Linked DNA regions of Struthio camelus. The protein of the gene in region 1 purifies or fractionates together with the protein of each later gene. This does not show direct contact. Links are inferred from orthologs where the notes say so. Each region holds a gene or a part of one and is shown on either strand. Other genes may lie near its edges. The genes, in order: organic cation/carnitine transporter 2 and YIPF3.

What was found.
Region 2: the proteins of organic cation/carnitine transporter 2 (region 1) and YIPF3 purify together in Homo sapiens (co-immunoprecipitation; 3 studies listed by BioGRID and IntAct, counting the BioPlex papers as one, with this or other methods). This does not show direct contact. The link is inferred for Struthio camelus from reciprocal best matches to the Homo sapiens genes SLC22A5 and YIPF3.

What each region holds. Positions count from the first base shown.
Region 1 is NC_090954.1:2,517,387-2,532,834, forward strand, and holds the start of organic cation/carnitine transporter 2, read right to left. Parts: upstream 8,424-15,448; 5' UTR 8,271-8,423; coding exon 7,878-8,270; intron 1-7,877. UniProt on the Homo sapiens protein: Sodium-ion dependent, high affinity carnitine transporter. Involved in the active cellular uptake of carnitine. Transports one sodium ion with one molecule of carnitine.
Region 2 is NC_090944.1:103,660,473-103,675,797, reverse strand, and holds YIPF3 (protein YIPF3), read left to right. Parts: upstream 1-8,789; 5' UTR 8,790-8,865; coding exon 8,866-8,946; intron 8,947-9,041; coding exon 9,042-9,245; intron 9,246-9,330; coding exon 9,331-9,437; intron 9,438-10,307; coding exon 10,308-10,353; intron 10,354-10,780; coding exon 10,781-10,873; intron 10,874-11,220; coding exon 11,221-11,352; intron 11,353-11,908; coding exon 11,909-12,022; intron 12,023-12,496; coding exon 12,497-12,620; intron 12,621-14,072; coding exon 14,073-14,194; 3' UTR 14,195-14,564; downstream 14,565-15,325. Other genes in the region: XPO5 (exportin-5), read left to right, coding at 408-548; POLR1C (DNA-directed RNA polymerases I and III subunit RPAC1), read right to left, coding at 4,952-5,070, 5,430-5,546, 6,106-6,255, 6,434-6,586, 6,779-6,898, 7,030-7,162, 7,855-7,962, 8,158-8,229 and 1 more. UniProt on the Homo sapiens protein: Involved in the maintenance of the Golgi structure. May play a role in hematopoiesis.

The DNA.
Region 1 (15,448 bases):
TTCAAACAGCTCCCACAGGGTCCCTTCTGATGTTTTAGGAATGGAAACTTTTAGGGATTTAATTTGCATGAAAATAGTTGAAACAAAATTAAAATATTACATTGACTGCAATGATTAATCCCCTTCCACCTTCAAATTAAACAATTACATAGTTTTTTTTCCTCTTAGCTTTTTAAATTCGCACTGGAGCAAATATCAGCGCTTTGACCGGCCCTGCAAGAAAGCCAGGCTGCTGCGTGTCTGAAATCAGCAGTCTACCTCGTTGACGCTCTCTGGCCTGGTAATGCCAGCCTTTCAGTTTGTTTGCTGGCCATTTGTTGAATGCCCACAGGAACTGGCTTTTTCCTTCTCTCTTTTCACAGAGCTATCCCCTCTTCCCTTCTTTGTAGTTTCCTTACCATTAAACTTTTGACTCGGGCATCTCACAAGCCTCAGCCTATTATAGGTCACGCTGCAACTTGCTCTGGTTTTCAAAAGCCTTTCCAGTTTCACACGACGTTCTGAACCGCAAACACTAACACTCAATACAGTGGTCCAATAAATCCTACCAGCACCACCATTGCACATCCTTACTGAAGCTCCTTTCAGAATCACAGCTTTCTAATGGCTCACAAGTTTATAGCGCTTAATAAGGATTTACCCTACTATGGTTATCTTACTGTAAGGGATTTATCTTACCACAGTTGCATCATTTTGACTGAAAATTGTAATAAACACAGTTGCAATAAACCTCTACTTCTTCAACAAAAAGCTATACTTCATTATAGATTAAGGAAGGTTTAAACAATTCTCACAGTTGTTCATTGAGCCTAATCCGGCCAGGAAACTTCAGCAGAGTTTACCTAGCATCTTGGAAATATGCAGCAAATTATTATCAAATTTCAATAGCCAAAAGTTTCAGTCACTACCAAATATCTTCACTGGATCACATTTATTGGGATAACAAATACTACTCTCAGTAGAAATCTTGCATTAATAAAGACTTGCCTATTCACAGACTACCCTTTGTAGCAGCTACTGGAACTAGACATCTTCTTCAGTATTAGAACTAAAATCTCACTAGCCAAAGATTTAGCAAAGTCATTATTTCTCAGCTGGTAACTCTGCAGTTGTGAATTAGCTATCTCCTTTCATCTATCGTCCTCTCTGTACTTCGACACATAAGTTGCACAACACTTGGCTTTCCACTGGCATGCTTGCGCTCAGCAATAAACACTTTCTTATGACCACTGAGTTAGAGACATTGCCTGGAAAAGTTCACTGGATTAAAACATTTTGCATTGCCCTGCCAAAAGCTTATTGCATTGGCAAGTGGAGAGATATCAGCCTTTAAAATGCCACTCTGATTACCATCTTGTTTTTCTGTCCACTCCAGTAACACAATTTTAGGAGCTGTTTCGCTCAAGAGCAATTCAACCAGGCACGAAAGCAAACAACTTGCATATCAATTTTCCAAAAGACGACGACTGTCTTGATCATGAAATGGCAGTTATTAAAGCCATAAAGAAAACCTAAGGTCATAAAACTCCACACATGCACAATGAAAACAAAAAGATTTTAAGGTCCATTACTGCAGTAACTCAGTGCTGAAGTCTTCAGCTTTTCAATGACTTACCAAAGAGCGCTACTGTATGGCTCCTGCCAGCGATGAGGCATCAGTCTTCTAAATTCCCCAACGAATCTGTCCCTGACCTGTACGTTGCCCAGAAAAATGGCACTGATGTACCACTGCTGAAGACCAGCATTATTAAGAGCAAGTATCCCTGGGTTACTTACTGATGGAGTTCTGCTGATGGTGGTGCTGCTCACTACGGGTCGGGACACAGTATATCATGATCAAGTGCTTGAGAACCATGTCCAATTTTCTTTTCTAGTGTCCTGCTGGATATCATAGCCTTTGCCCCAGTGAATAAGATAAGGTTAACCTCAGCAAGTTATCAGGGCTCCAAACGGGAGGAAAAAACACAATTCAGCTTTGCTTCTAACAGCAGTTACCATCAAGTTCCTAAACACTGACACCCAACACTTCAGACACGGCACAAGGTGTTCTCACTAAATCTTATTATGATTTTGCAGGAGGACATTTTCTGCTGCAGTTTAAACTTGTTTTCTTACTCAAACAGCTTATAGCTACTTTGACTGGGCTGTAACTATGTCCTGAACAGTTCACCAGGTTGGGGTGATGTCTTTGCCAGCAGCTTCACACCCAGCAGCAGTAATTGCCCACGTGCTGGGGCTGGGCTGCGCCATGAGAGGAGCCAAGCACTCCACAAAGGATCCAGGGCTGATAAATAAATTCAAAATCCCTTGCTATGTGGCAAGACTAGTTATAAAGCTGGGGAAGAAAAAAATCCAACCAAACAAAATCCCACCAAACCACTCCCTTAGCGCCCCCCCTCCCCCTTTTATTAGCTTCCAGGCTTTTATCAAAAAAGAAAAAAAAAAGGAACAAAAAGTATTACTGTATGTTTAGTCAGAATTACACTAAGCAGCGTAAGTAGAAGTTTAACTGTCAATCTGGCTAGACTGGTATTTCCTATATTCACTTGTCATATGCCTGTCCAATACTAAACTGAATGTTAATAAAACATCTTTAGCCACAAAGTTTCATTCAAACTGCAGTCACAATGAAACTCACACACCTCCAAGATGAAATATTTGAACTCTTTGAACTCAGCAAACTGGGCAATAACATCCAAAGCATAAAATAAAGATATTAAACTAAAACTGCAAGGGAAATTCAGGCAGACACAACGCCACACATCCAGCTGAAGATATGGCCAGACTACAAGTAACAAGTTTGGTTCTTCTAAGTTCTCTAGGAACTTCAGAAGTCTCAAGAGACCAGGGCTACTATATTTTGTGCGTATAGGCTCTGCAGCCATTGCGCTTGCAGAATACCGCTTGCCTCAAAAGGAGAGCTGGCTCTTTATGAATTACCAACACTAAAGCCTGCAATGGCTCCCATCCAGACACTTATGCAGATCCCCTAGGCTGCTTAACTTCTACTGCAGTTTTGTCAACTTCAAAGAGAGCATAACAGAAACCAGCGAAAATCCAGCTGCTAACAACAAGAGTCTAATCATATTTCATCTTAAAATTGCACAAAAATTTGTAATGCATTACAACATCAAAAGTGCAAGTCTAATTAAAGATAAACTCTTCCAAAAGTCAAGTTCTTGCAATACAGTATCACAGCAAACAAGAACTCCATCATCAGCTTATATGTTTGGAAAGTTACAAGAGAAACTGCAAGGCCAACAATATTATTTATGACCTTACATGAAACAAGCACTTTTCTCAGATCACAAAGAGCTGTTCCACTGCAAAAGCACTTGTACTTCCCTAATAGCATTACCAGAACCATAAACAAAGACGGACTGTGACAAAAATCAAATACTTCAAGAGGCTCACTCAGTTACAACCCAGTTATATTAGGAAGATTCTTCTGAATTTTACAGTTACGCTATTTTGTGCCCCTCCATCCTTTTTCTTTTTCATTTTTTAAACATTTCCTACTGTTGCAGAGAAGAGAAGGGAAGTGGGACACTGATGTACTAATATTTTCTTTTTAAAAATCAAAATATTGGCAAGAATTTGGGAATCTTATTCAATATACTGTACTCTCTCCTATCACTTGCTACTCTGTAAATAGAGGTAGGTTCTTCAACAGATCTAGCATTCTCACCACTCAGCACTTATGAACTTTGATTCAGAATCTGTTCTTATTTATATCCATGCAAATACGGTACTCACCACTTAATGAAGAGCTGTGAGTGTATTAAACATCTGTTTTTCTGAGACTACATCTATATGTATATCAAGCACTCAGAAGTTCTAGAAGATCTATGACAGCATATTAAGTTATCTGAAAATGTAAACAGATGTCTGTATCTGAAAAACATATATGGTATTTAATTTCTCCCCAGTAGCTGTTTTAAACTTTTTAGAGAGGAAAAACTTGCACAGACCACTGAGAAAAGTGCTAAACATTTTACATTTCCAACGAAACTTAACTTCCCCCCATAAAACACATTTTTGAGAGAAAAAGAAAACAAGGTACTGACATCAGAAACAGAACTATCAGAAGACCGTTCATTTAAAATTGAATGCAGCGTAACAGGAACATTATCCTATCATTACACAGTCCACGATATGTCAAAATGAGCATTGTTTCAGTTTTCTTTATATCAACTATAGACTATCGTTCTTTAAAAATACTGACCCTATTTGATGTTTTGAAGTCAGAAAGGTCTTTGGATTCAATTCACAAGGGTCCTGTATTATGCACTTAAAACTGCTGAGGTTTTCAAGATGTAACTTAAGTATTTCATTATGTCTGACAGCCATTCATGCTCATCTCATAAGCTGAAAATTGAACTTTTCTTTTTCTGACAAGAATAGCAATATAAAGATTTTGCAACTGGAACTCAGTTAAAAGTCATTCCATAGCTGTGTTAGCTGCTGGGACTGAAAAGCTGTCACTGCTAACTTTAACCAGAAAAATAAGCAGATCTTTCTGTGCCAAGAAAGAAGATGCATCGATTTTAAAAGATGATGAAACCGAATGGAAGTCCTGATGTGGCTTTTGGTCTACAAGGCCACCTGCACTAACATGAATGAAGAGCTCAGTGAGAGCTGAACCTGGATGACATAGCCTTGAGTTATACTTTGCTGCTGGCTCCGCTATTGGAAAAGCCTGTGGAAATTAAGATGCCTAACACGAGTCCAGGAGTTTTTTTGGTAAAGAGAAAAAAAGCTCCACCTTCTTTCTGTCTTCCAACAAAAGGTAAACTTCAAAACCCCTAGTGACACACCTGTACACAATACTCATTTGTGTCATTTCAGATGTTGCTGCTCCAGCCTCAACTTATTCTTTCCTGAAGCTCTGGCATAACTTACTATTCTTCAGGAACCAAGGTTTGACAGCACAGCAGGGCCACTGAACCCCCTGGTAAAAAGGAAATGGGAAACTCAGGGACCTCAAAAAGGCATGGCATCTTTCTCTCCCTGCACAGTCATGCAGGAGTCATAGTTCCAGCACTGCACCGGGCCTCAGGACAGCTCTGTAGTTCCAGTGATAAGCACCCTTCCTCTGCAAAAAACATCAGTAGCTGAAATCTGTTAAGAACAACCCTAAAGGCAGACTTGTAAGGCAAGTCTGCAATACAAAGAGATGCCTCTAATGAACTGATTTCAAACTGATAGCAATACAAGACATGTTCATCATCAACTTTTTAAAAATGTATACACAAAATTCTGTTTCTATTTATGTTCCAGTATGTAAGAATTACTCCCATATAGACTAAAGTGATTTGATCACTGTATCGTCTAAGAATATACCCAAGAACAGTAACCTCATTGCATCATTTTTCTAGTCCTCTATTTAACTTTACTGCTAAATTCTATTCCTAGTTACTCTGCAGAGCCCCAAAAGAGACACTGGGCGTTCACCGATGCGTCCGTGATAAGCGTAAACGAAGCTTTGCTTATTCCTCAACATACAGTATTTCAAAAAGTCAAAGATGAAAAAGGATTTTGTTACACACAAAGCAGTTAATTACTCCAGACTGATTAACAACATTCTCCTGCTCAGTCTGCAGAACTGAGAAAAGAAAATCTGTTTTTAACTGAGAGAGAACGTAATGTTATAAGCTTCCTCTTACCCCTGAAAAGCAGAAACATATACGAGGATCTTTCTCTAAAGTCATGAGAATCTCAAGTAAAAACCTTCCTTGGGGAAAAAAAAAACCCAAAACCCTTCCCCCTCCCAGTGTCAACAACAGAAATGTGGGACAAAGGTCCTCATGATTATTCAACAAGTTAGAGATAAGCAATTAAACTCAAGATTAGTGATTCATAAAAACAGCAGCACCAAGCCAAGAAATTAAACTAGTTTAACGTTGAAAACCTGAAAGTATGTGAAAGGCCACAGCTCTTGCAAAACTGGCTCAGAAACATTAATATAAAAGGAGGAAAAAAAACCCCACTGCCTCAATGCATGATGTCTTGGCAGCGAAACACGGCCTCCCGCAGGCACAAAGTATCTGCCAAACCATACAGACAGCACAGGAGATTTGCTGTAGATTTCTGGAAAAATGTTAGCAACTTTCATTTCTCATAGATCATAAAATTTCCGGAAGATAGTTGATAATTAAGATATGCAAATTTGCACTGAGTTAGAGCTCAGAAAGACAAACTGAAATTACATCTAAGCCAGGTCAATTGCTACACTTAGCCGCAAACTGGAAGGCCGACTGCTTTATATTGCCTGTAACAGCGCACCAGACTTTCACAATAGTGTATTTCAGTAATGACCAGAATCTAGAAATTCAGTTTTCTTCTTCAGGAACAGAGCAGCTTTTTAGAAACAGGTCAAGTAACACCGTCAGTCAGTTGTCAAAAATCACTCAGGCCTCAGCCACTGTCTAAGTTCAAAAGCAGTTTTCAGCAACTGAAGTTTCACCATACGCATGCTGGCCTGTGCGCTGGTATGCGCGTGGCTTCTCCCACGCGCTCCCTTCCTCACCCAGTCCTCTTCCCGAGGAGCGTTTCGGGACTCAGACCAGCTTACCTCCATCAGAGAGCAAGCACGGGAACATCCACCACTACCCGTTCTGCGGAGCAAGAAATAAAGGCCTTTGGGTGGCAAATTTAGCCACTGTTCTGCAAAACTCGTTCACAGACACAAACGGGCAATTCAGCTGTACAAACGGCTTATAAGCCTTTGCAAAAAGCTACGTTTTGAAATCCAAATATTCCTTGCGATCCATTTGCTTGTATCTTAAGTCAATCCAAGCCTGCAGAGCTTTCAGCTCAGACAAGAAGCATCATCAGCACAACTTCACCTTTGGTTTCCTTGACTGGAGAGGTGATTTGCTGAACACAGTTCAGCAGATGTGAATCCTGACATGCTCCTGGAAGGTAGGGCGGAGAAGCAAGCAAGGGGCAAGCATGACGCTGACACACAAAGTTCATGGCTCTTCTGGACACAGCATCAGAACAGGGCTCTCTTATCGCACCAGACTGCTGCGTCTCCTACAACTCCGATGACTCCTACCACTTTTTGTTTTTAAAGGAAACAAATAAACCCCTTTCATCTCATGAGCTCAAAGAGGCACCTTTGATCTAAGCAGCCAGCTGCACCCACTGTTCCCCTGTTGACCCTTTGTGCTCGCTACCTCACTTCTGAGGACATCAGATGAAACCAATTAAGCAGTTAATATACAAACGCTGCCCAACAACGGGGAAAAGTCACCGCATTTAGAAACCACTTTTGCAAGTGAAAATTAAGAGAAATTCATTACATTAGCTCTCAAATACGTTTGGCATGCCAGCTGCAGAAGCTAGGACGAGTCTAGGGCCAGGACTCCAGGCCGCTGAAAACCAGCATCAGAAACCAGTGCTGTGGCAGGCACAGAAGTTTCTTCGGCCCTGCTGTGAAGACACACACCAGTAAAAGCTCTCTGTAACTCTAAAAAAGACTCCTTTGGCTTCTTGTTATAGATCTCAAATGAGGGCGGCGGGGGGGGGGGGGGGATCACGATTTCTGGCAGGTTGCAGAGATTCTGCAGGGGGGAAGGGGGGGAAAAGGGGGGGATTTTTGCACCGTAACGATTGAGAGCGCGGCGAAACCCTCCCGGACGAGCCCCCCACAGCCGGGGGGGCCCCCCGGCTGCTCGCCCAGCGCCCTTCCCTCCCCCCGGACCCCCCCCCCCAACCTGCCGCAGCTCCGCGGTCAAAGTCCCCGAAGAGCCATTCTCTGCCGAAAGGGGACAGGGCAGGCCCGAGGCCGCGCCGATGGGCGCCTCGCTGCCGCCGCCTCCCCCCCTCCCCTTCCCCCTCTCCCCCGGGAGGGGGGGGGTCCCTTCCCGCACCTCGCTGACGATGGTGGAGCGGTAGACGTCGCGGCTGTACTCCCAGCCGTCCAGGCAGCGCTCCTGCTCCAGCGCCTCCAGGTCCACGTCGGAGCCCGGCCGCAGCCCCAGCGCCGAGAAGTTGGCGAGCGCGGCCAGGCGGTAGCGGCGGCAGCGGCTCGGCGCCGCCCGCCCGCCGCGCACCTCCAGCGGGATGCTGGCGTTGCGCCACTCGCCGCTCAGGTTGGCGCCGCCCGGCACCGCGCACCGGTGCTCGGGGGTGCCGGCCAGGAACACGATGGAGAGGCCGTTGAAGCCGTTGGGGATGATGCTGGCGCTGAGCAGGAAGAAGACGAGGCGCTGGAAGCGGCCCCACTCGCCCAGGAAGGCGGTGACCTCGTCGTAGTCGCGCATGGCGCGGCGGCTTCTGCTGCGGAGCTCCGGCCGCCGCTACCTGCGGCCCCGTCTGGCGCGGGCAGGGAGGAAGCGGCCGCCCCTAGGCCCGGCGCGGCCCGGCGTCCCGCTTGCCATGGGCCGGGCCTCGCTCGCGGCCCGGCGCCGAGGGGCGGGGCTTGCCGGCGGGGCCGCCCCTGCCGGCGCCGCGGTGATGGCCGCGGGGCGGGGCGGGGCATGCCGGCTCCCGGCATGCCCCGCCCCCTTCCCCCCCCTCCCTCCCCCCCTCCCCGGCCGCGGCCGGAGGCGGCGAGAGCCTGAGGGGAGCGCGCGGGCTCTGAGGGGGGCGGCGAGGGATGAAGGGGGCGGAGAGACCCTCGGGGGGGCGGTGAGGGATGAGGGGGGCGGAGAGACCCTCGGGGGGGCGGTGAGGGATGAGGGGGGGCAGTGAGGGATGAAGGGGGCGGTGAGACCCTCGGGGGGGCGGTGAGGGATGAAGGGGGCGGTGAGACCCTCGGGGGGGCGGTGAGACCCTCAGGGGGGCAGTGAGGGATGAAGGGGGCAGAGAGACCCTCGGGGGGGCGGCGAGGGATGAAGGGGGCGGTGAAACCCTCGGGGTTGGGGTGAGACCCTCAGGGGGGCAGTGAGGGATGAAGGGGGTGGTGAGACCATCAGGGGGGCAGTGAGGGATGAAGGGGACGGCGAGACCCTCGGCGGGGCGGTGAGGGATGAAGGGGGCGGCGAGACCCTCGGGGGGCGATGAGAGAGGAAGGGGGCGGTGAGACCCTCAGGGGGGCAGTGACGGATGTAGGGGGCGGCGAGACCCTCAGGGGGGCAGTGAGGGATGAAGGGGGTGGTGAGACCCTCAGGGGGGCAGTGACGGATGTAGGGGGCGGTGAGACCCTCAGGGGGGCAGTGAGGGATGAAGGGGGTGGTGAGACCATCAGGGGGGCAGTGAGGGATGAAGGGGGCAGCAAGACCCTCGGGGGGGGCGGTGAGGGATGAAGGGGGCAGCGAGACCCTCGGGGGGTGGTGAGACCCTCGGGGGGGGCAGTGAGGGATGAAGGGGGCAGCGAGACCCTCGGGGGGTGGTGAGACCCTCGGGGGGGGCGGCGAGGGATGAAGGGGGCAGCGAGACCCTCAGGGGGGCGGTGAGAGATGAAGGGGGTGGTGAGACCATCAGGGGGGCGGTGAGGGATGAAGGGGGCAGCGAGACCCTCAGGGGGGCCGTGAGACCCTCAGGGGAGCGTGGCACCGCGGAGGCCCCGAGCCTCTGGTCTATGGGCTGTTTTTTGCATATTTGTGAAAAACAGGAGAGACGGCAGCTCTGCCATGGGACAGCAGGGATCTGCATCAGGACACCGACTGCTGAATAATGGGGGCAGCTTGCTCACCGGGACGGCGCGAGCGGACAGAGGTAGGGGGTCCTGAAGAATGGGACCCTCCGGCCGCGGCGCCGCAACAGGGGGCCGTGAGGGGCTGCTCCCTGGGGACGCGTCCAACACCCACGCCCGAGACACCCACAAGGTAGCAGGGACACGGGTCACACTCATCGTCCCTTCAGGAGTTACGGAGATCGTGTCCAAGGGAAAGGATTCCCGATCTCCTTACTACCTTTAGATGCGTATTTTGTGAGTAAATCTCAAAGGTATAGTCTCGATTTGCAGATGGAGAGGCTGAATTGTGAAGCAGAGATGGAAGGGCGCGGTAGCTTTTAGAGCAGCACAGAGGGCCACGCTGGCCTTGCACCACACCGGTCCCCTTGAAACACTGGCCTGCGCCCACAGCATCACAGACACATGCTGAAGAAAATAGAAATCTATGAATGACTAACATGCTGTCTGTGTTTTGTCAATACTTTTCCTTGGAAGCATAGGCTGGGGCCAACAGAAAGGCTGTGCTCCTGTTTTCTGAGAGCTACGGAGACACGTTATCCCTCAAGAGTGCACAGCACTGGAGCTCCGGGGAAGAGTTGGCGTATATTAATAGACTCCTCAGCCCTTGCTTGGAGGCTGGTCAGAGCCTCAGACTTTTATTTACATCAAAAGCTAGGAGGCAGGAAGGCCTGCAGTGCTGGGATACTGGGGAGAGGCATTGCCTGGCCTCTCAAGAATACCTATCAGGTAGGAATGCTATTAAGGCTGCAGGAATTTCATCTTTACATAACACTTTTTATCTGCCTCTAGAATACTTTTTTTAACTTTGACTTTGTCATAAACTGACTTGCAAAAGTTCCCTTATTTTACGCGCCCAAAAAGTCAGGACATGCATTCTTAAAGAGGCAAGCAAGCACAAGTGTCTGATGGGGTGTTTGTGTAGCATCTGCGAATACCTTTGCTCACTGCCTGCCTGAGCAGGGCCTCGTGCCGGCTCCTGGCACGTGCTTCCCTAGCCTGGGCTGGTTCCCAGCTCTGCACGAGGAGCCAGGCCCGAGCACAGGCCCGGGCTGGCCCCGGCCTGCTGGCGTGTGCTGTGCCTGCTCGTGACTCCTTGGCAGAAGCAGTTCATGAAAACAGGCCTCAGAGCTCTGCTTATCACCCAGCAGGGTCAGAAACCAGAGTATTGAGATGTAAATCATATATTCAATTGACTGCAATACCCTTGGTTTGGCTACAAGTTACAAGCAAAGCAGCCTAAAGGGTTCATTGGTAAGGCTGTGGTTTGGGTAGTTACGCCTGTAAGTCAGGAGCCTCGACTAATTGTTTTGTTCTCAGCACCATCAAGGGAAGGAAGTTTTCTGCAAGTCCAAACGTAAACTAGTTCCTTACCTTGTCCCTGTCTGCAACAACCACCTATTTCTAGAACGCCCATCGTCTGTTAAGCAGTATTGCCTGTAGGTCTAAAAGGGATTTGCTATTAAGGACATGCAGTTTTTCATTTGGGGAGTATTCTTTGAGGCAACGTGTACTGTGTGTTTGACAATTAATAAATGTAAGGAAGTCTTCTATTCTTAGGCCAAAACCAATGAGTCATTACCTAGCAGTGCTGTCAAGAAGGCAGGAAGATCACATCTTCCATAAAGAGGTCTGTTACAAAGCTGTATGATCCCTAAGTGCAAAAACTGACCTTATTCTGCAGAGGTAGTTCAAGTTTCAGATTGCCCTTTTTTGTCTATTTTTCTCCACCTCCAATTGACGGAAGCCAGATGCATACATCTTACACTAATTTTGAGTGCTTCTTTTTAAAAAGAGCTTTCTTTCCATGTTGGAATCATTGTGCTGTGAAACTCTCCAGTTGTTCACGATGGAAAATATGATTTTCTGACAGATTTTGCTTAAAAACGTCCTTTCTTTAAGTGTTCAATTCCATAGGTCCCGTAACCAAAGGGATCACCAAGGTTCAAAATAAAAGGATATAAAGCTTCTGGTTTAATTTCATTTTGCGTTGTCTATCTTATTATTTAATAGGCTTTAGTATATTTGGAAAATTAACTTTTCATGTGGACAGAATACAAGTAAAAGTTATAGGCTGTATAAGCCCAGTTTGGCTGTTATCACAGAATGTTAGGACAAAACAGGAAATGAGATGACCAGAAAATATAGATGACAGGAATCACAAAAAGGAAACAAGCCCAGGAGATAAGACCCGTTCTAAACAAACAAAAAACCCTCTGACCATAAGCAACCCATATGTCCAAAATATAAATATCCATTTGCCTTACAAAAGCTAGGAAATGTGTATTAATGGTAAAGGATACTGGCTTACATTATATAATGAACCACTTTTTGATTATTTCCTCTCTCATTCTCCATCTAGTAAAAAAAATCAGTTTGCTGCCATTTATAAATTGTTTTATGTCATTACAGTATAGAGAATTTCTTTATAATTTTGAGGATTTTTAAAAAAATCTACTGTTGTGAAGACCTGATTTCTGTGGCACGGAAATCTTGGACTCTTGGTATATACTGGGTTCTTAGATCTTGTTCAGGGAGGTCATTGACTTACAGGAAGCTTACTGATGGATAATAATTGGGAAAAGATTTTCTGCTTAATTTCAACATATTTAATCTCCAAGTTTGAAAAGTATGGCAGAATTATCTGGACTGCCTTTCTAGTAGAGGTCCTTTCAAATGCTGGAGAAGATGCTGCTTAGGCTTTAGTCTTTGTGGTTTGTTGCATCACAATTAAAAACTACACTATTGCTTGTTGCTAATAAATTTTAACTTCTTTTTGATTTTAGGACAAGTATAAAGTATAAGCTGACATGGTCACCATATCAGAAATAGAATTCCCACAAAAATTTATGCAAGTTATATTTGTGTCCTGACAATAATTTTTAAACAATTAATAATGATAAAATAACCTCTTCCTTCATGTTTAAATAGAAAAACAATTACACTTACTATTACATATTTTTTCCTTCTGGATGTTTTCAGTATGCTTGGTTACTGTGAGAAATGAACAAAGTAAAAGTTCAGTCTCAAAATTATAGCTGAGCATTTCTTTAAAGGATATATATTTGACCTGCAAATGCATGTAGTGGAATTCTGTGGAGACCCATCAACCTGAAAGGTTACTACTTCAGTTACTTTGTAGGATCAGGAAATTAGGATTTAACCATCTGAAAAAGCTGAGATTTTAGGCTGGAAGAACTGGCCTACACTAGTATTTCCTACCAGAATAGTTTTCTTGTGTAGAAGAGCTTATTTTAAAAGGAGGAGGTTCCGTACTTAATCCATGCTAAATAAATTTTAAATTACTTCTTTAAACTTCCTTGCACAAGGCAGACTTCTTTCTTCACTTATAAGCCACACAGAAGGTAGGTTATACAATACCAGTGCACACTTTATTACAATAAAGACACAAGTTAACAAGTGACAACGGCTACGTTATTTTATGTATGTTTTAACAGATCCAGTAAGTCAGCTTCAGATCTTACTGAGGGTAAAAGGTTACACAGATAGACTCTAGTAAACGTGACGGAGGTGACGTATGAGGAATAGTACAGCTCCCACTGAAAGCAATGGGAGCAATCCAGCCAGTCCTCCCCATCTTCAGCTCAGAGCTTTACACAAGTATCCCAGCTGCTCATAAACACACAGGTCCCATACTGAGCCCCACTGAGTATTTGGCATACAGACAACTCTCTGAAGATTGCAGTGAAAGGCTTAGATAGTTCACTAGCAATACATTTAATTTTTGGCAACAGCTATTAATCCAATACTATTTACTTCAGCTTTACAGTTAAAAAAAAAAAAAGTAACGTGCCAGAAACTGGCATTCCTGCCGTCCAGCTTCATTGCTCTTTGAATCTTCCACAGCCTATTGCTCTTTGAGTTTCTTCAGGAATCACTGTTCAAGATTGGGAAAGATTTACTGGCAAAGGACAGAAATTTTCCTAGCAAATGCTTCATCAGCTGCAGCAATCTCCCGTTCTCTTTTGTACTAAGCTCAGACACAATTTAAAGTCCTCATAACAACATCACATTCTTCTGAGAACTGCGTGCCACTCTCGTTAAAGATTTTTTTTAATTTGCCATTAAAAGTATTAAAATTTTGGCACTAGCTTTAGATAATAGTATAAGCAAGAAAAATGAGGCTAATTAAAACAAAGCATCAAAAAACCCACAACCCTTTCTCTTAGTTAAATAAGGAATACTAGGTTTTAAGACACTACAAAGTTCAAGAATATAAAAATATTTGCCTTTTAGAAATATCTGAGTCTATGATCACATAAAACAAGTATCAACTTAATATAAAAATCTTAATAAAAATATAGCCATCTGTATTTCATCAAGTCCTCACAACTGTCTCACACCAATAAAAAGGTTTTGTTGAGAAATCTAGTTAAGTCTAAACAGTTATTCTATAGATTTTTTATATAATAAGTAAAAACAAAATTAAATGTTGTTGTCATTAGAGAAATTCCGGCTTGAGAAGAGATGAGGCAATGTTAGAGATCACAGGATAATGTTGCCTCATTACATGTTACATTACATTTATGGCAAAAGCAGGACCACAGAAAATTAATATGAAAAGAAATAGTATTTCCATGTCCCAAACTGCAGCTTGAAATAATTGTACAAGTTACTTGCATTTAAATGTTATAAAGCTTTATATTTGTGCTTGAACTTACAGGGAGCTACTCCTTCCTCTGCCAAGGGCCAGCAGCAGACAAATTGCCACGAACTCTCATATTAAAGGTGAAACAGCGTGCTTCTGCTGGCCGTTACAGAAGGTAAATCATGGCTAATTGTTACTTAGAGGCTAAAATCAGTCTGCCAGGTCTGATAGACTTTATGTGACCAAAAAGTCTATGTGCAGCCAATAATAAAGTAAGAAGTAGTAGACTTTTTTCAAACTATGTAGTGTTTATAAAACAGCAGTAGCACAACTCTAAACTCTACTACATTTGACTTTTCATCTAATACTGCTTCACTGAACAAAATGCATACATAATCTGTAGGACTTGAAAAACAGAACATTGGCTTTGTTGGTGTTTGTTTTGAAATAACTGTGTGGTCCCAAATTAGCCCTTTCGTGTTTTTAGCAGCTGTAGGTGAACAATTCCCATACAGAACATTAGATTTTTTTGAGCATCAAATCGCCTTTAAATCCGCAAATGGTGCAAAGATTTTTGTAGGTGCTTTCAAAACTGGAATGAGTTTCCTCTGAAGGTACAGTACAACATGGCATATATTCAAGGAGAAATGAAATAATTTGAGGAAAAAAAAATTCAAGATAAAAAAAACTGCTTATGCCAATATACCGTGAACATCTGGTATCTAAAACTGCACATTATGTTTGAAAAAAATCATTTATTTGCTGGAGCCTGTGTTTCTTTTGAATGTGGAAATTGCCCCTCAGAAGTAGGTCAGAAACTATACTCCTTATTAAAGACTTCTTCCCCGCAAAGATGCTGATCCATGAAGCCCAGTGATTTCAGTGGGCTCAGGCGTTGTGAAAAAGCATCAGATTTTACAGGGAGAAGTAGATCAGAACTGGATCCCAGGTCCTGGGAAAAGTAAGGAACATCAAAATATACTTGTTCCCATGTCTTGTTTAAAAAAACCAATAAAGTCTATGTGTGCTTTCCTTCAACTAAATTCTGATTCCACTTAAAGTGTATTGGGATTTGGTACAGATTTCAAAGGAGGCTGGAATCTTTCCTTTAGAGATGTAGGCTGAGATTTTTCAAAGAAAGGTACCCAGCTCCTCCTCTTCCAGTCAATATTCACAGTGAGAGAAAACACCAGCGT
Region 2 (15,325 bases), on another chromosome or scaffold:
AGGGTAGGGATGGTGCCATACACTGAGCGGCACCTCCAGTAACAACTTCTCACCGAGAGGCAGTGGGTACTTTGGCACAACAATACTTATTGGGGACAGGACGTTCACATGTTTGAACAAAGCTGCTCGATAGTTGCAGGGCTTTTAGTGAGGCTCGGGAGGTTGGAGTCTGAGGTGTTGAGTTAGAGTCCCGGGAGTGTGGTGCAGTCGGCACTAGTGGTTACCATCGATGCCCTGGCACTGTGGAAAGACCAAGCCTGAGATTCCCCAAAACCGAAGCAGGGAGAATGGGTCTAGAGATTGCTCGGAAACTGGGGCCGGACTGTGAAATGCAAGTAGGTTGCCCTTGGGCTGAGTGGACCTGTGAAAGCAGTAATGACTAAAGCCTGCCTGTCTGTCCTCTGCAGAAGCCCCTTGGGGAGCAGTTCCGCAAGGAGGTTCATATCCGGAACCTCCCATCTCTCTTCAAAAAGGTGAAGCCATCACTGGAGACAGACGTGCTAGAGAATGAGGATGGAGAGGGCCTCACTGCACTCTTTGAGCCCTGAGCCTGGGACACTGCAGCCATCTCCTCCCCTACCTTATATTTGGTCTCTCCTCATAGTAAGCACATTAGGTTCTCTCTGTCATCTCCACGAGCATTCACCTGAATAAAGCCCCTTACAGGTCCTGTCCTGTTCTCCCTACATGGGGATGGGGCCTGGGGTGGCATTTGATCCAGTCCGTTAAGCTTTTTTGATTCCTTCCCCTCCCCTCTGAGTATTAGCAGCTTTAGACCTCTGCTTCTCTGCAGGGTGGAAGCTGAGCCTACAGACTGGCAAAGCCTGGTCATTCTCTAGCCTTGGGTGTCTCTAGCTCCACCTCTTCATCCCTGGGCATTTAGGAGTGATGCAAAAGGCAAAAGAGTGCCCCATCTGAAAAGGGGCTGCCCTAATCTTACTCTGGGTGGTAGTAGCCAGGCTTTGCAGGGAACACATCAGACACTCCCGTCATGCCCACAGGCTCTTGTCCCTAGTGGACTTGTCTTCTGATGAATCTCTTTCCCTCCTGGACTCTGAGAGCCCTGGCCTGAGGGCTGTGTGCCAGCAAGCCTTGCAGTATTCTAGGCTCTCCCTTGAGTTCAGTCTTTTTAAGGTGCAGCTCCTCTCTGAAAGGAGGCAGACACTGTCATCATATATGTATGTGCATATGTCTTGTTCTACCTAGAGCCAAATGGAAGGCTTTTGCTTTGTGCCAGCCTTTCTCAGACATCTCTCAGGAGCAGGACAGGAAGTTTTTTTTTTTTTTTTTTTTTGTAACCATGCTCTGTAGACTAGAACAGGGCAGTGCAGGTACACAAAATCTGGACCAATAGCTGAAGCACCTGCAAACCAAAAGGGATCAGCCCACCGTGTCACTGTGGAGGTGGCAGTAGCCTCTGTTTTTACCCAGTATGGTACCTCTCAGAGGATTATGTGGCATGGCAGCAAGTAGTAGGGTTTTATAATGCAGTTTACAGGGGAGGGAAGCCTGTCCAGAAACTGGGTTTTTGGAGGAGGTAGGAATCTAGCAAACCACTCCAGGCTGCAAAGCTGGTTATTCTACAGGATAAATGGTTCGTTCAGTCTATTATAACATTAGCACAGTGGTACAGGAGCTGGGACAGTCTGTCCAGAACAAGCTGGCTGTTTTGCCATCCAGGAGACAGAAAAAGTAATAAATCATGAGGGGGGACAAAGGTGGTGTCTCTGCTAAGTTGGACTGGACAGAAAAGCTTGGTTTAGAAGAGGGTGGGGGAGGGGGAGGGCTGAAAGGAAGAGCAAGCTTTGGGACTCAGTGCAGCCTTCTGCTGCTGCTGTTCCACCAGCACCCTCCACTTTCCTCCTGGCCTCACTTTTTTTTTTTTTAAACTCCTGAGCTCATATGGTTCCTGGCTCAAGCAAAGGCTGGGTGTATTTATTGTGTTGTGGTATTTTTAACATTCTGTGACTTCATGCTAAACACAAGGGGTTTTTTTAAATGGTTTTTAGAACCTTTTTTGTAGGACTGTTTAAAGCTGAAGCTGTCTCTGAACTGGTTGTGTTACACCTCTGAATGTCAGTAAAGCTATTCCAGTTTCATACACATGGTGTCGTGATTTCATTTTATTCTTTTACCTCCTTCACCAACAGCTGAAGCCTCTGCTTTGCCCCCTAGTGGGCCTTCCTAAGAGTCATTCAGCACGTCTTATCCCATCTGCAAAAAGGGAGACACCTTTGCTGGTAGTCCGTGTAAATTGGGCATTGTCACATGTCAGTAATCAGGATGGGGATGCACTGTCCCAGGCTAGCTAATTAAATTAGAAGGCAAGGAGAAAGAGGCATTTAAAAGTATCAGCTGATCAGTCAGAGCTGCTTTATCTTAATTCTACCACAGCTGCTGGGTTCAAAGCTTGAAGGGTACATGTTTACAAAGACAATTGCTTTGACATGGCTACAGAAAACAAAGCATGCCTTGAAAACACAAAGAAGTGCAAGCTGTAGTATTATTACCTTAAAATGGATGCAGGGGCCTGTAAGGACACCTTAATAGAAAGGTTTAAGGTACCTTGCTTGTGACAATCAGAGTAGGAGCTGGCAGCATCCTTCACAGGGGTTAAGGACAGCACAAGAAGTCAATGATTAGACTGACATACTGTCTCTTGGGAACACAGTTTGGGATGTACTGAAGCAATTTCTTTCTCCTCCCTTCCTTCCACTGTAGCTAGGCTTATGGAAGTAGGGCAAAGAGGTTAGCTTAGCCTCAAGGATGCTTCTTTAGTCCGTTACTGCATCACTGTTTCTCAAGCAGTGGGCCTGGAATTGTCCCAAGTTTTGTTTCCTGTTTGAAGCAGCTGATGTTTTCACAGAATTTTGTTCTTTCTGGTTGGAAGCTTCCTAAACTCCTCCAGCATGAGAGACTTCTTCCCACACATGCTAGGAACCAGTCAACAGCAGCACATTCTTTCCTAAACTCCATCAATGTGTCTCAAACAAAGTCAATATAATTAAAGGTCTTTAGGGCTTTCTTTGGTTATTTTGGGATATTTCCAAGCCCCCAGCAATAGACAGCTGCATATGCTGCTAATGCAGCCTCCAAGCGCCACCTTAGCTATTGCTGGGAGGAACAGTGGCTAGCAACAGCGCTGTAGTTGAGCTATTCAGTCTTAATACTCTCAGCTTATCATTTCAGTAACCCTAGAAGATGATTCGTTTTGTCCTGAGGCTTGCAAGAAAGTCCTCCAAACTAGAGCAGAAGCCCTGTGAGAGGTAAGCCTGACAACTTCCCTATTGGGCCCCATTACAAAACCGTTTTTGAGGTCCTACCTGTAATCCAGCTCAACTGGGAAGCTGCTTCAGCTTGTTTAAACTGAAACAATCCAGCTATAAATTACTACTTTTGAAAAGGAGCGGTAGAACCTGAGTGAAGTTGATTAAGAACTAACCACAGTCCTGATCTAAAGGAAGTTTTGTATGCCTAGGCTAGCACTACGACTCATACATGCGAGACTGGTACTGTACAGCTGGGCTGTCTCAGTTTTCAGCAAGCAAAAGCACTAGGCAGACACCTTGGCTGTGGCTGTTAGGAGCTCTAAACCAGGAGGTACAAGCTACAAAACACAGGCCTAGCTCTTTGATTCCCAAAACTCCCTTCCAGTTCTAAGCAGAATAAATAGATCGTGCAGGGTAAGTTCTACAGCAAAGGCTCCTGCAAGACAGCTGAAAGAGGCAGAGGTACAAAAACCAGGAAGCACATCTGTGAAACACCAACTGCAACCCCTCCCCCCAGAACAGCCTTGACAAGGAAGCAGCCAGTTTCCCAGCAACTAGTTACCAGCAGTCTTAAAAAAAAGAAAAAAAAAAATCTGTGAGCAGAGCATGGGTCTGCAACACAGTATGATAAAATGGAACAGGCCTGGGATTTTGGCCAGAACGTCACCACTGTTTCGATCCCACTTTACTGACTTTGTCCTGAACGCACACGTTTTCTACAGCACATCCAGCCTAATACTTGTCCTGTAAACGTACAGCTAACTATACCCCAGTGGAACAGGTGACGTACGATTTGCTACACACAGTTCTAGCAGTTTAATAAGCGTTAACTGAAGTCACTGAAACAGACCAGTACTCATAGCCACTCTTTGGAGTTCTAGTTCATTTGTTAAGCCTAACAATAGAGTCATTCACAAGCAAGAATTACCTAGTGCTGACTAACAGAGTGCTCACCACAGAGACTTGCTTGCAAGTTCTCCCAGGCTTCCCTTGGTGGGGACAGGCCTTTAGCTCCCCCCTACCTGCCACTGTTCCCCAGGAAACTCTTAACTCAGCTTCAGGTTCAGACACTGAAAGGGAGAACAAAGTAGCCAAGCCTGGTTAACATCAAGAAAGAAACACCTCACCTTGAGACATGTAACAGGGAACAGTTAGTAGTCCTTACAGAGCATGTTTTTAAGCCCCACTTTGCTACTACACAGAGAAACCCAATACTATGTAACAGTGCAACCTTTCATCTACCACATCAATTAACTACCACAGCCTCTGTTGAGAAGGCTTGAGACAGCCTCTGTTAGCAAGTACCAGGGCAGGACTGCATTAAGATCTCACCGACCTGCTGCTAAGTGCTTTACTACACTGCCATAGCAGTCCTCTTCAGACAGTGCATGCCATCCAAAATAAATCCTATTGCTCATCTTTAGGCCTGCTGGCACTTTCTTCTCCGTATATTAGGGTCTTACCACTGTTAACAGCACTGAGGCACATGGCTGTGAAGAAAAGCCTTTATTTTAGGGCATCTCCTCAATGAGGCTCATTACAAACAGAAAACAAACACAAAGAGATGGTCTTGGGAATCTAACAAACCCATCTCAGACCTCCTGCCTACAGAGGAAGAACCACCCCTGCAGGCAAACCCCCAAACCAGCAGTGAAGGGATGTGCTTCTCAGCTACAGCCTGGTCACTCCATAGGCACAGAGTCCAACTCATTCAGGAAGCGCTGGCACTTTCCCATTAGTATCTTGATGGCTTCACTCACCAGCACGTCTGGAGGCAAGATACCCGTAGACTCCACTGAAACTGCACAGAGATACAAGTCAGCACAGCCACTATCCAGCTTCAGCCTACACCTGGCTCCAGCCTTTCTGCCCCCGAATTTTCACTTACATTGCACTCCTGTCAAGCTAAACCTTCACAGCCAGAAGAGAGGTTTACAACATTAGCCAGCAAGAAGCACAAACACCTTCAGTCCCGAAACAGCGCCAAACCACAATCTCAGTAGTCACCCATGAGCATACAAGCGTACCAAGGCTAATGACTGGTGAGGGGGAAGGGGAAGGAGGACAGAGACGAGAGATAGCAATACTAGCCAAGCCTCTGCTCATGCTGCACACACAGCAGAGAAAGGCTCTCTGCTCTGAGGAAAATGGGTCACTTACAGATGTAATGATTTCGCACTCTTGCCAGGCGCACAAGGTTTTTCAGACCCTCATGACGGAAAACCTCCCTGCTGAACGTGTCCAGTCGTGCATTTGCTACTCTTGCCACTTTTTTTCCTAAAGGGAAAAAGACGAAACAAGATGGGCACCGGCAGCAAACAGGGACAAGCACTTCCCATGACCAAAAGGCACCCCAGACAAGCACTCGCCCACCAGCAAAGGCAGTGAAGCCACAAAGTATAAAGAATTAGCACACCTCCAACACAAAATTCTAACCTGATAGAAATGAGCAGTTCCAATCTAAACACAAAGCTTATACATACCCCTGGGCAGGATACACGTCATCCCCACATTCAACTGCTGGAAAGACCAAGCTCACTACCCAGTCTGACACACAGTTGAGCAGTATTTGGAAGCTGCAGTAAGCAGCCACAGGGCTCTACAGACAGACACACAATACCTTAGCATTTCAGGGAGATCTCAGTTCACCAGCAAACACATACGCGTGCAACAGCCACTCATCCATAAAACCAGGCTGAGAACAGCACAAACAGTTGCTGATCAGCAAGACAACATCACAATGTGGTTTCGTCTCCACAAGGTTTGGCTCTAGTCTGCAATAACTCTTTGCTAAGACTCATAAGGACATGACACGTTAGAGCAGTGAATAAAGTACCCTTGATGGTCTGGATCTCAATGACTCCAGGGGAAAAGCACTTCTGCAACAACTCAGCCGCCTCATTCTCAATAGGCTGCAGGAGAGTAATGTCCGGAAGCAGTCGATAACTAGCTGTGGCCACAGGAGAAAACTTGGCATGATCTTTACCTGCACAAAGAGATAAGGGTGAGGAGAGGTCTCACAGAACAAGAGGGTAATGATGCTAGGGCCTAAAGTTCAAAGAGGCAAGCCAGCCTTCCACCTCTCCCCTCCACACATCCGTCCATGCCCTATAGTCCGAGCACTCCCACACCTTCTCCCCCTACCCTCAGGACCAGTGACTTACCTATACCCTTGACACAGTGCATAAGCACATCTATTTCCTGGCCAGGTCGTAACTGTGCGATAAGGATGTCATCATGAACAGGTCGGAAGTCAGCATCTGGGAAGAGGTCTGTCTGATTTCCCAAAGGCACCCATGTCATGTGTTTACTGTACACTGTGAAGAGGAGCCACAAGCATCAGCCAGCTGCTGCCTCAGAAAGCAGACTGCTACAGGACTGGAGCTGGTAAAAAGTTTAGCAGAATAAGGGAATCAGCTCTCTCTGTTCACAGGACTGAGAGAATGGACCAATTCCTGTCTCCCAAGAAAAAAAGCAGCATCTGTTTTTAGGACACGGAAAGACCTTACCTTTGTGATTGAAGTACAGTTCATTGGGGTCAGAGGACTCCCTGGCTGCCTGAGAGTTTCGGCTGCATTTTATTTTCAGCTGGAACTGCAACGTATCAATTTCTGTCCCTTCTTCATCTCCTGGAAAGGGGAGAATAGCACGAGCGTCTACAGAATCACGCTTCTGCTCAGTTTACCTGATCCCAGGTTTCCTACTTTGGGGGCAACCTTCAGTATTTCGGTTTGATTGAAGGGAGACTCAGGACTCTCACCTTGGTTTCTGTACTCAAAGAGTCGAGGGTCAGCTCGGATAGGGATAAGTCCCAAGCGATGAGCCAGAATCTCATCCTGCACGATGGACGTGTTGTTGTACACAAAGACTTTCTCTACAGCCATCGTTGGCACCTCAAGGAGAAGAGGACGCATCAAGTCAGTATAAGGTGACGGTCCAACTACACACCAAAACAGTGTCTAACTAAAACGTGCTTATTTTCACTACTTCTTCTCTCCCATAAATAATTGCTCGCACACTCTTCTCACTGGTGTTTCTATCAAATTGCGCTACCCAATACAAACATGAATGAGTTCTCCCTCTATCCCGGTAGCTTACTTCTTTTATTAAAAAAAAAAAAAAAAAAAAAGTAAGAGAGGTAAAGGGCAGACCAATCCACAGAACCTACCAACATCCACAACAACCTACCAACCTACCTCAGCATCCTTAAGGGTTACAATTGCTATTGCTCATGCCACTAAGGCTCTAACTCTCTCTAGGTCCTTGACATACAGAACGGATTTTTGCTTCTCTTCTAAAATACGTATAGATGGACTGAGATACCACAGGACATACACATACACGCCCTCTCCCATCGCACAGACTGCTCTGCAGCTAGGGCCTGCTTCCAGGCAGCTCTGTGCAGGGCCCTGTCCCCCATGCCCTGCTGCAGAAACACTGATGCTGCAGCAGGCTCCCACCGGCGGGCCACAAGGGCCACCGGTGGTACGAAGATGCTAACAGCCCCGAGGCCCACCCGAGTTGGGGGGGGGGGGGGAACCCGGCCGGGGAGCACCGCCAAGCCTTGCCCTCCCCGCGGCGGTACCTCAGCCAGCAGGATGCGGCGGAAGGCGTTGGCGATGGCCGCGTCGATGCCCACCATGTCGAACTCCAGCGCGTCGTCCTCCTCGCGGACCACGTCCACGCGGAACCCCTGCACGGGCCACGCGCCGCGTCACCCCACGGGCCCGCCTCCACCAACCGCCGCCGCGCGCGCGCCCGCACCGCCCGGAGCCTGTAACGTTCCTCCCCTCCCCGCCCCGCGCGCCCCCTCCCCAACGGCCGCCGCGGAGCCCGCCCCGTCCCAACGGCCGCCCAACGGCCGCCCCGGCCTGCCGGCAGCGCCCACCTCCTCGAAGCGCAGCTGATCCCAGGCATCGTCGTAGCCGGGGTAATTGCCGGGGAAGTCCGTGGTGTGGACCTGCGAAGAGGGAGATAGGCAGAGAGCCCGTGAGGGCGGCGGCGGCGCCGGGAGCGAGGCGGGCACCCGGCAGCCCCGCGCCGCCCCAACTCACGTTGCGGACCCCGAACTCGCCCAGCACCACGCGCTCCCGCATCTCCTCCGTGCCCCGCTTGGCCGCCATTGCCGCCGCCGCCGCTACCAGAGCGCGTGCGCGGCCGGACGGACTGGGGAGGGAGGGGTTAGACTCCCTCTGCCACGTGACGGGCCGCCCCACCCCCGGCGGCCGGGCGGGAGGACTTGGCTCCGCCTAGGTGTGGCGCCTCAGCCGCGGGGCGTTCAACCCTCCCTCGCCGCAGGCCGGCCTGGGGGCGCTGCGACAGCGCAGCCCACGCCCCCGTATGCTCTGCGAGGCTCCCTCACCGTCTACTCAGCTCCTCTCTGCTGCCCCCTTCCACTTTCCTCTGCCACTCCCAAGATGGCGGCACTGCCGGCCGGCCGGCGAGAGCGCGATCTCGCGAGAGCGCGGGCGGAGCCTCCACGTCCGCCGGTGCTGGGGGGGGAGGGGGGAAAGCCTGTCACATCCGGGTCCTGCGAGCCCCGCTGGGCCCGCGGAGCCGCCAGCAGCGAGCGCGGCGCGGGGCGGCCCCGGCCACGATGTCCGCGCCGGGGGCGGCGGCGCCGGGCGGCGGCAGGAGCGGCGCGGCGGAGTGGGGCGGCTTCGAGGACAACATGCAGGTGGGGCCGGGCCGGGCCGGGCCGGGCCGGGCGGGGGGCGAGGCCGAGGCCGAGCGGGGCCCGGGCGGGCACTGACGCCTCTGCCCCCCGCGCAGGGCGGCGGCTCCGCCGTGATCGACATGGAGAACATGGACGACACGTCGGGCTCCAGCTTCGAGGACATGGGGGAGATGCACCAGCGCATGAAGGAGGAGGAGGAGGAGGCGGAGGGCGAGGCGGCGGCCGCCGAGGAGGAGGACGGGGAGTTCCTGGGCATGAAGGGGCTGCGGGGGCAGCTCGGCCGGCAGGTCGCTGACCAGGTGAGCGTGGCTCCCCGCCCGGCCCGCGGCCGCCCCCGGCCTCGGGGGCCCGGCCCGGCTGCTGCACGCTGCCTTCTCTCCGCAGATGTGGCAGGTGGGGAAGAGGCAGGCCTCGAAGGCCTTCAGCCTCTACGCCAACATCGACATCCTCCGGCCCTACTTCGACGTGGAGCCTGTCCAAGTGCGCACCAGGTGGGCAAGGCCGTGGCCCGGCCGTCGCCTCCGCCGCGAGTGCCCGGGGGATTCAGGGGGGACCAGCGACTCCTCACCAGGGAGCGGCTGCCCCCAAGGCAAGCAACTCCGGGTGGGGCTGCCAGCCCTGCGCAGTGCCCAGATGCAGGGTAACACGCTAGGCTTTGTCCCCTTGTCCTTAAAGAGGTTCCCTAGGCGGGCTGGCCGCTATGTCACTTGTGGCCCAGCAGAGCTTCTCTGACTGAAACAAGGGCTTTGAGGCATCTTTAGCGTTTTATTGCCCAGCCCCGTCACGTGGTTTCTGTTGGACCTGCAACACAGTTGTGTTCAGAAAGGCAGTTCTGTGTCTTCTCAGGGAGCAGCTTACCTGACTGGAGAGAATGAGGCAAGAATTACTTTTCTAAAACCTTCCAAGGCCTAAGGAGCCAGCACTAGGGTACAGTTTGTACATATTTTTACAGCATGATTTTATCCAGGACTAACTCATGAGGAGGCTCGGCTAGCCCGCTGTCATGAAGGAGAAGGCTTTATATCATCAACATATGTTTTTTCATCCAGCCTCAGGTCAAGGAGTTCAGTGGCTCAGAAAATTAGGGATTGCTGTTCTGGCAGCAGTCCCCTCATCCCTGAATGGATCTGTGTATGTTTTCATTAAATCCCCCTGGCAAAGTTAGCCTGTGGATAATAAGATTGTTTTCTTTAGCTACCTTTTGTGACTCTTCAGAAGGAATCTGTGTCTACCAAGGCCTGTGAGGCACAACAGGAAAATACTGGTGACTGGGGTATGGGATCTTTTACTGCTGAGGCATCTCGTTAACCTGGTTGTTTTTCCTGCTTTTGATGTCGTTCTGTGTTTTTTCTGTGATGCAGACTGCTAGAGTCCATGGTTCCCGTCAAGATGATTAATTTCCCACAGGTGAGTTCCCTTTTGCTGAATCAAACTCCATGGCTCAAGAGAATGTCCCACAGACACCTTGGAGATTTTGATTAGCCCGTGTTAGTAAGGGCCTGAGTTTGCTAGTTGTTCATCTGCCTGAAAATGCTGGTAAGCTCTTTCCCAGGATGCTTCTAAACCCCTTTCTGCTACCCTTAATGCTGGTACAGTTCTAGATCTCCAGACTTCACTTATCGTGTTTTGGCATCCTGTTTAACACCACTTTGACTCTTAATCACATGACCTATTTTTCCTGGCTCCTGTCAGCAGCGGCCTTACTGTTACTTCTCAGATCAGTAGGTGGCTAAGTGACAAAATTCATCCAAGGCACTTCTCACATGGCTTGGGGTGGGGAGTCTGGCCTTCAGGAGCACTAACCAAGCCTTCCCTGGTCTGTCTCCTCCTGTAGAAGATTGCAGGCGAGCTCTATGGGCCCCTCATGCTGGTTTTCACGCTGGTGGCCATCCTCTTGCATGGGATGAAGACTTCGGACACCATCATTGTACGGCGAGTCTCAGCGATAGGTTGGGGTTTGCACTGGGATCTGAATTGCCATAATGAGGCTAGAGAGGGAGAGGAAGCCTCTCCCGTGACTGAACAGCACCTTGCTGAAAAGCAGACTGATTTGAGGAAGAGTTAATTTGGGGGTAGGAGGAAGGAAGCAAGCATCAGAAAATCTTGATGCTGTGTTGCTGGAAGGGCTGGGCAGTAGGCCATGTGGCATCCTGGACGCTGCTGGCTGGCTATTCAGTCATGCCTAGCAAAGGCTCTGGGAACTCTCTGAGGTGGAATTTGGGTCCTGACAGGTCAGTTCTTTGCGCTCTCCTCACCCTGACACTGTCTCTGCAGAGGGAAGGCACACTGATGGGCACAGCCATTGGCACCTGCTTCGGTTACTGGTTGGGCGTCTCCTCTTTCATCTATTTCCTGGCATATCTGTGCAATGCCCAAATCACGATGGTGCAGATGCTGTCACTGTTGGTATGTATGGATGGGGCTAAGATGCAGGTTGGCTGCATGGTGCTTCAGCAGAAGGGTGGTGTGGGGGGGTCTTCCCTGAGACGTGGAAGTCTCCTTATCAATTAATGGTCCCAGGTGACTGCAGTCCTATTGCATGGGGATAGGCTGGAATTCCAAGTTGTTCTTCTGACTTGCCCCATCCCAGGTACGAGGACAGCACAAAGTGGCTGTTGCTTCATGCAGATCTGCTTTGGACTTCCTGATCTGAGAGCATGGTGGTAAAAAGCAGGAGATTCCAATTTCTCTGGAAACAGAGGCTGATTTTTTCTCTGTTTCCCAAGTTGCTGTGATTTCTATCATCCCTGTGACTCCTTCAGGCAGAGAAGCTGGATGTGAGCTGCTCCCACAGCACACTGGCTTTTACGTTTGGTGTGCTGATTGACTCTTGGGTGTTGAGTGAGTGATTAGTGAAGCTTTGCCTCCATGAAACGCTGCAGGAGTAGCCTACTCATGGTTTTGACCAGTAGCCCTTCACGTGGGACTGTCATTCATAACACGTGTATTTTTGTTTTGTCAGGGCTATGGCCTCTTTGGACACTGCATCACCCTCTTTGTTACCTATAATATCCACTTCCACTCCCTCTTCTATATCTTCTGGCTGGGTGTTGGTGGACTCTCGACACTACGAATGGTAAGGGACAGGCAGCTGGGAGCCCTCCTGCTTTGGGGACCAAAAAAAAAAAAAAAAAGAGGAGAATGTCATTTGCTTTCTGTTTCTTGGGGCAGGCAGTTCATATCAAAGCCAGTAAGGCTGCTAAGAACAACAGCCTGACACTTCTGGGTTGCTTGGCCGCTGGTGTCTGGAAGTGACACTCGGCTTAATGTCCTCACGCATTCTAATGGCTGCAGGAGGTCTGCTCCCTTACAGCCCCTACTGTGGTGCAGAGTCCTGCCTGAGCATCCTGAACTCTTGGCAAGGCTGGACAAGCTTCACCTACATGAAACAGTCAGTTTACTTTGAATTTGGTGGTGTAAACTGCCAAAGAGTCTCTGAGTAGTTTCTGTTGGCTCTTACCACTTGGCCCATCTGCCTATGTGCATCTGACTGCAACGCCAAAGGCTGAGGTAGCAGCTACCTTGTCTGTAATCTCCACCTCTCTCCTAGGTTGCTGTGCTAGTGTCACGTACCGTGGGGCATACTCAGCGGCTCATCTTGTGTGGGACCCTTGCTGCTCTGCATATGCTTTTCCTCCTCTACCTGCACTTTGCTTATCACAAGGTAGTAGAAGGTAAGAAGGGGAGATAGGAAGGGAGTGCCTGTTAGATCTGGGGGAAGAGGAATTGCTTTTTGTTCCCTCCCAGAAAAAATACAGCCAGTTGGATCCAACCTGGGATATGTGCCAACTTCCTATCCAAGAGCGGCCAGCGCTAGCTGTGTTAGAGGAAGCTGTCCAAATGGGGCAGCAGATAGACATGGGGTAATCTGTTTGTGCCGAGTCTCAGGGTTTAGGACAGAAGTTGTGAGGCAGAAGGTTTAATTTTCCCCATAAATGAAGTGTCACAGCACTGACTGTTCCACTCACGCAGATATCCAGTCCCTTCCTGAATCTTGCTGAAATCAGGTTGCTTTCTCTGGTCAGAAAATCCACAGTCAATGTATCGCAAGAAAAATCTTTTTCCTTCTTAAAATTGGTGTAATGCCTTTTTTTATCTTGTGTTGTACAAAACAGGCAGCAGAAGCTCCACCTCCCCCAGTCTGTGCTATTTACCAAGCTATACATATTCAGGTCTCCTTTTTGCATCTTTTTTTGTTTTCCCCTAACAAAAGTCACTATCCCTTTAAAACAAACCAAAAAAAGTCACAGTCTTCAATCACTAGAGTTTTCAGATCCCTAAACGTGCCATTCTGTAGTCCCTTTTTTGAGTTTAGGCAACCAGTCCTGTTCATGATATTGAAGGTAAGTCTCGATAATTTAAGATTATAGCATGGCATTAAAAGTCCTTTTAGATGTAAATACAGTTCTTGCCTGCATCCATTCTCATGGCCAGCGTTCTGAGCCCTGATCTGTGACTCTTCAACAAATGACATAGGGTAGAATATACTCCACGCAATTTTCTTAAACAATCTCCAGGACCGATTATCAGTTTTGAGAGGGTAACTGATAAAGTCTGGAGGACACTTCCATCAGTACATATGTTTGCTTCCAAACCTGGTCCCTGTTTACATTGCAGCAATAAAATTCCATATTGCATCCCCATCTGCAGCTCCTGATGTAAGTCTGCAAGTGTATCTCAGGAGGGAAGCAACCAGTGGATCTAAGAGAGAGCTGGGGGTCTGTGCTGGGATGAGGTGGGGAGAGGATTTTATCAGGCTGCTTTGGCAGAGCAGCATCCCCCAGCAGTATCTGCATTCAGGTCAGACGGCAGAGGGTTGGATTTGGCACCCTCAAGGTGACACGATCTGTGCTTCCCTCGAGGACACAGTTTCCCTGCCCCAGGGATAAGCTCTGATCTGTACGCTGCTCTCTCTCTGGATGGAAGTGTTTATTGCTTTATCTGAAGCCAAAGGCTGCCTGCCCATTCCTTGGGGCTAGATGTCTTCTCCCTGCACGTTTCCCACATCCTAGGCCCTGCCATGGTCAGCCACGGGCCAGAGAGAGCAAGAAAAAAACGTCACGTGCATCTGGATCAGCGTGGTACTAACTCTTGCCACTCTCCTGTTTTTTTTCTGTTCTCTTCAGGTATCCTGGACACGTTGGAAGGACCTAACATGCCGCCCTTTCAGAGAGTTGCTAGAGACATTCCAGTTGTTTCCAACGCTGTACTGAACGCAACAGCCAAAGCCATGGCATTGACCCTGTAGTTTCATGAACTTGGACTTGCTTCCTTCACTACTTTCGGGGCTGTATAGAGCAGTATCCCTGCTGTCTCCTAGGAAAAGGACAGAGCAGCAGGAATAGGACTTGGTTTTATGTTGTTTTCCTGGACTTTTCTTTTGGGTTGCAGTTTTGGGCAGCAGAGTGGGGCAGCACCTCAGTGACAGAATTAGGCTCTTCCCCTGCCCAGGTCTGGGCTGCTTGGCGTAGAGCAGTTCTGTCACCTGCACGCTTCGCTGGGATTTCCCAGCTCAGTTTGTCCCTCCCCCCATCTTTCTGCTTCCTCCTATAACCCCAGGGCTATGCGCTCTGTTCCTGTCCTGAGGAGGGAAGAATTAAATGGATGTTGGTGCTGAATGATGTCTTACATTTGAGCCTACTTGTGTAATGGGAGAGTGGTGGTGGGTCTCTGCTCCTTTGTCTGTCCCTTCCTTCCTAGACTCAAAACAGAATTCTTTGCACTTTTGTCCTGTCCCATTTCAAATGCTCCATGTTACATGGACAGTTTTTCAACAGTTGCCAAAAGGCACGTGAACTTTAGCGGGCTCAAGAGTTTTTTTGAAACAGCACAATGTTTAACCATATCATCTCTTTCTTGTTATGCTCCATATTGATCCCTCTCTCTTTTCACGTGGTCCAAGCTGCTGTCTCGCTTCGCTGTCCGTTCTCTTGTGTGTATAAGAAGTGTATCTCTGTCCCTCTGCTTTCACAGCACCTTTTGTTCTTATCTGCCTTCTGCCTGTGTCGCTCTCTGGGACTGCAGTTCTAACTGCAGCCTGCCCCAGAGGCAATGTGTGTGTGCGCGCACAGTCTTCTGTGATATTTCTGTTACAGAGGCTAGTTCACCCTCATGCACCTTGCTCTTGTGTCTCCCAGATGTGGGATTTTTACCTCATTTCTCTCTCCGGTCAGCAGAGGCATCCTGCTGCCCCAGATCCACCATGTACGGCATCTGTTGTGTACTCTCCGGCTTTTCAAGTAGAGGCTAGGTCTTCTTTCTGAAGAGGCTCCTGAGCCTTGAGAGAGAGAGAGTGTGTCTGGCAAACTCCTCTCCAGTAAAAGCACTTCTGTAAAGCAAGGGGGAGTCTACAATGGTAATGGAGTTGGCACGTTCAGCC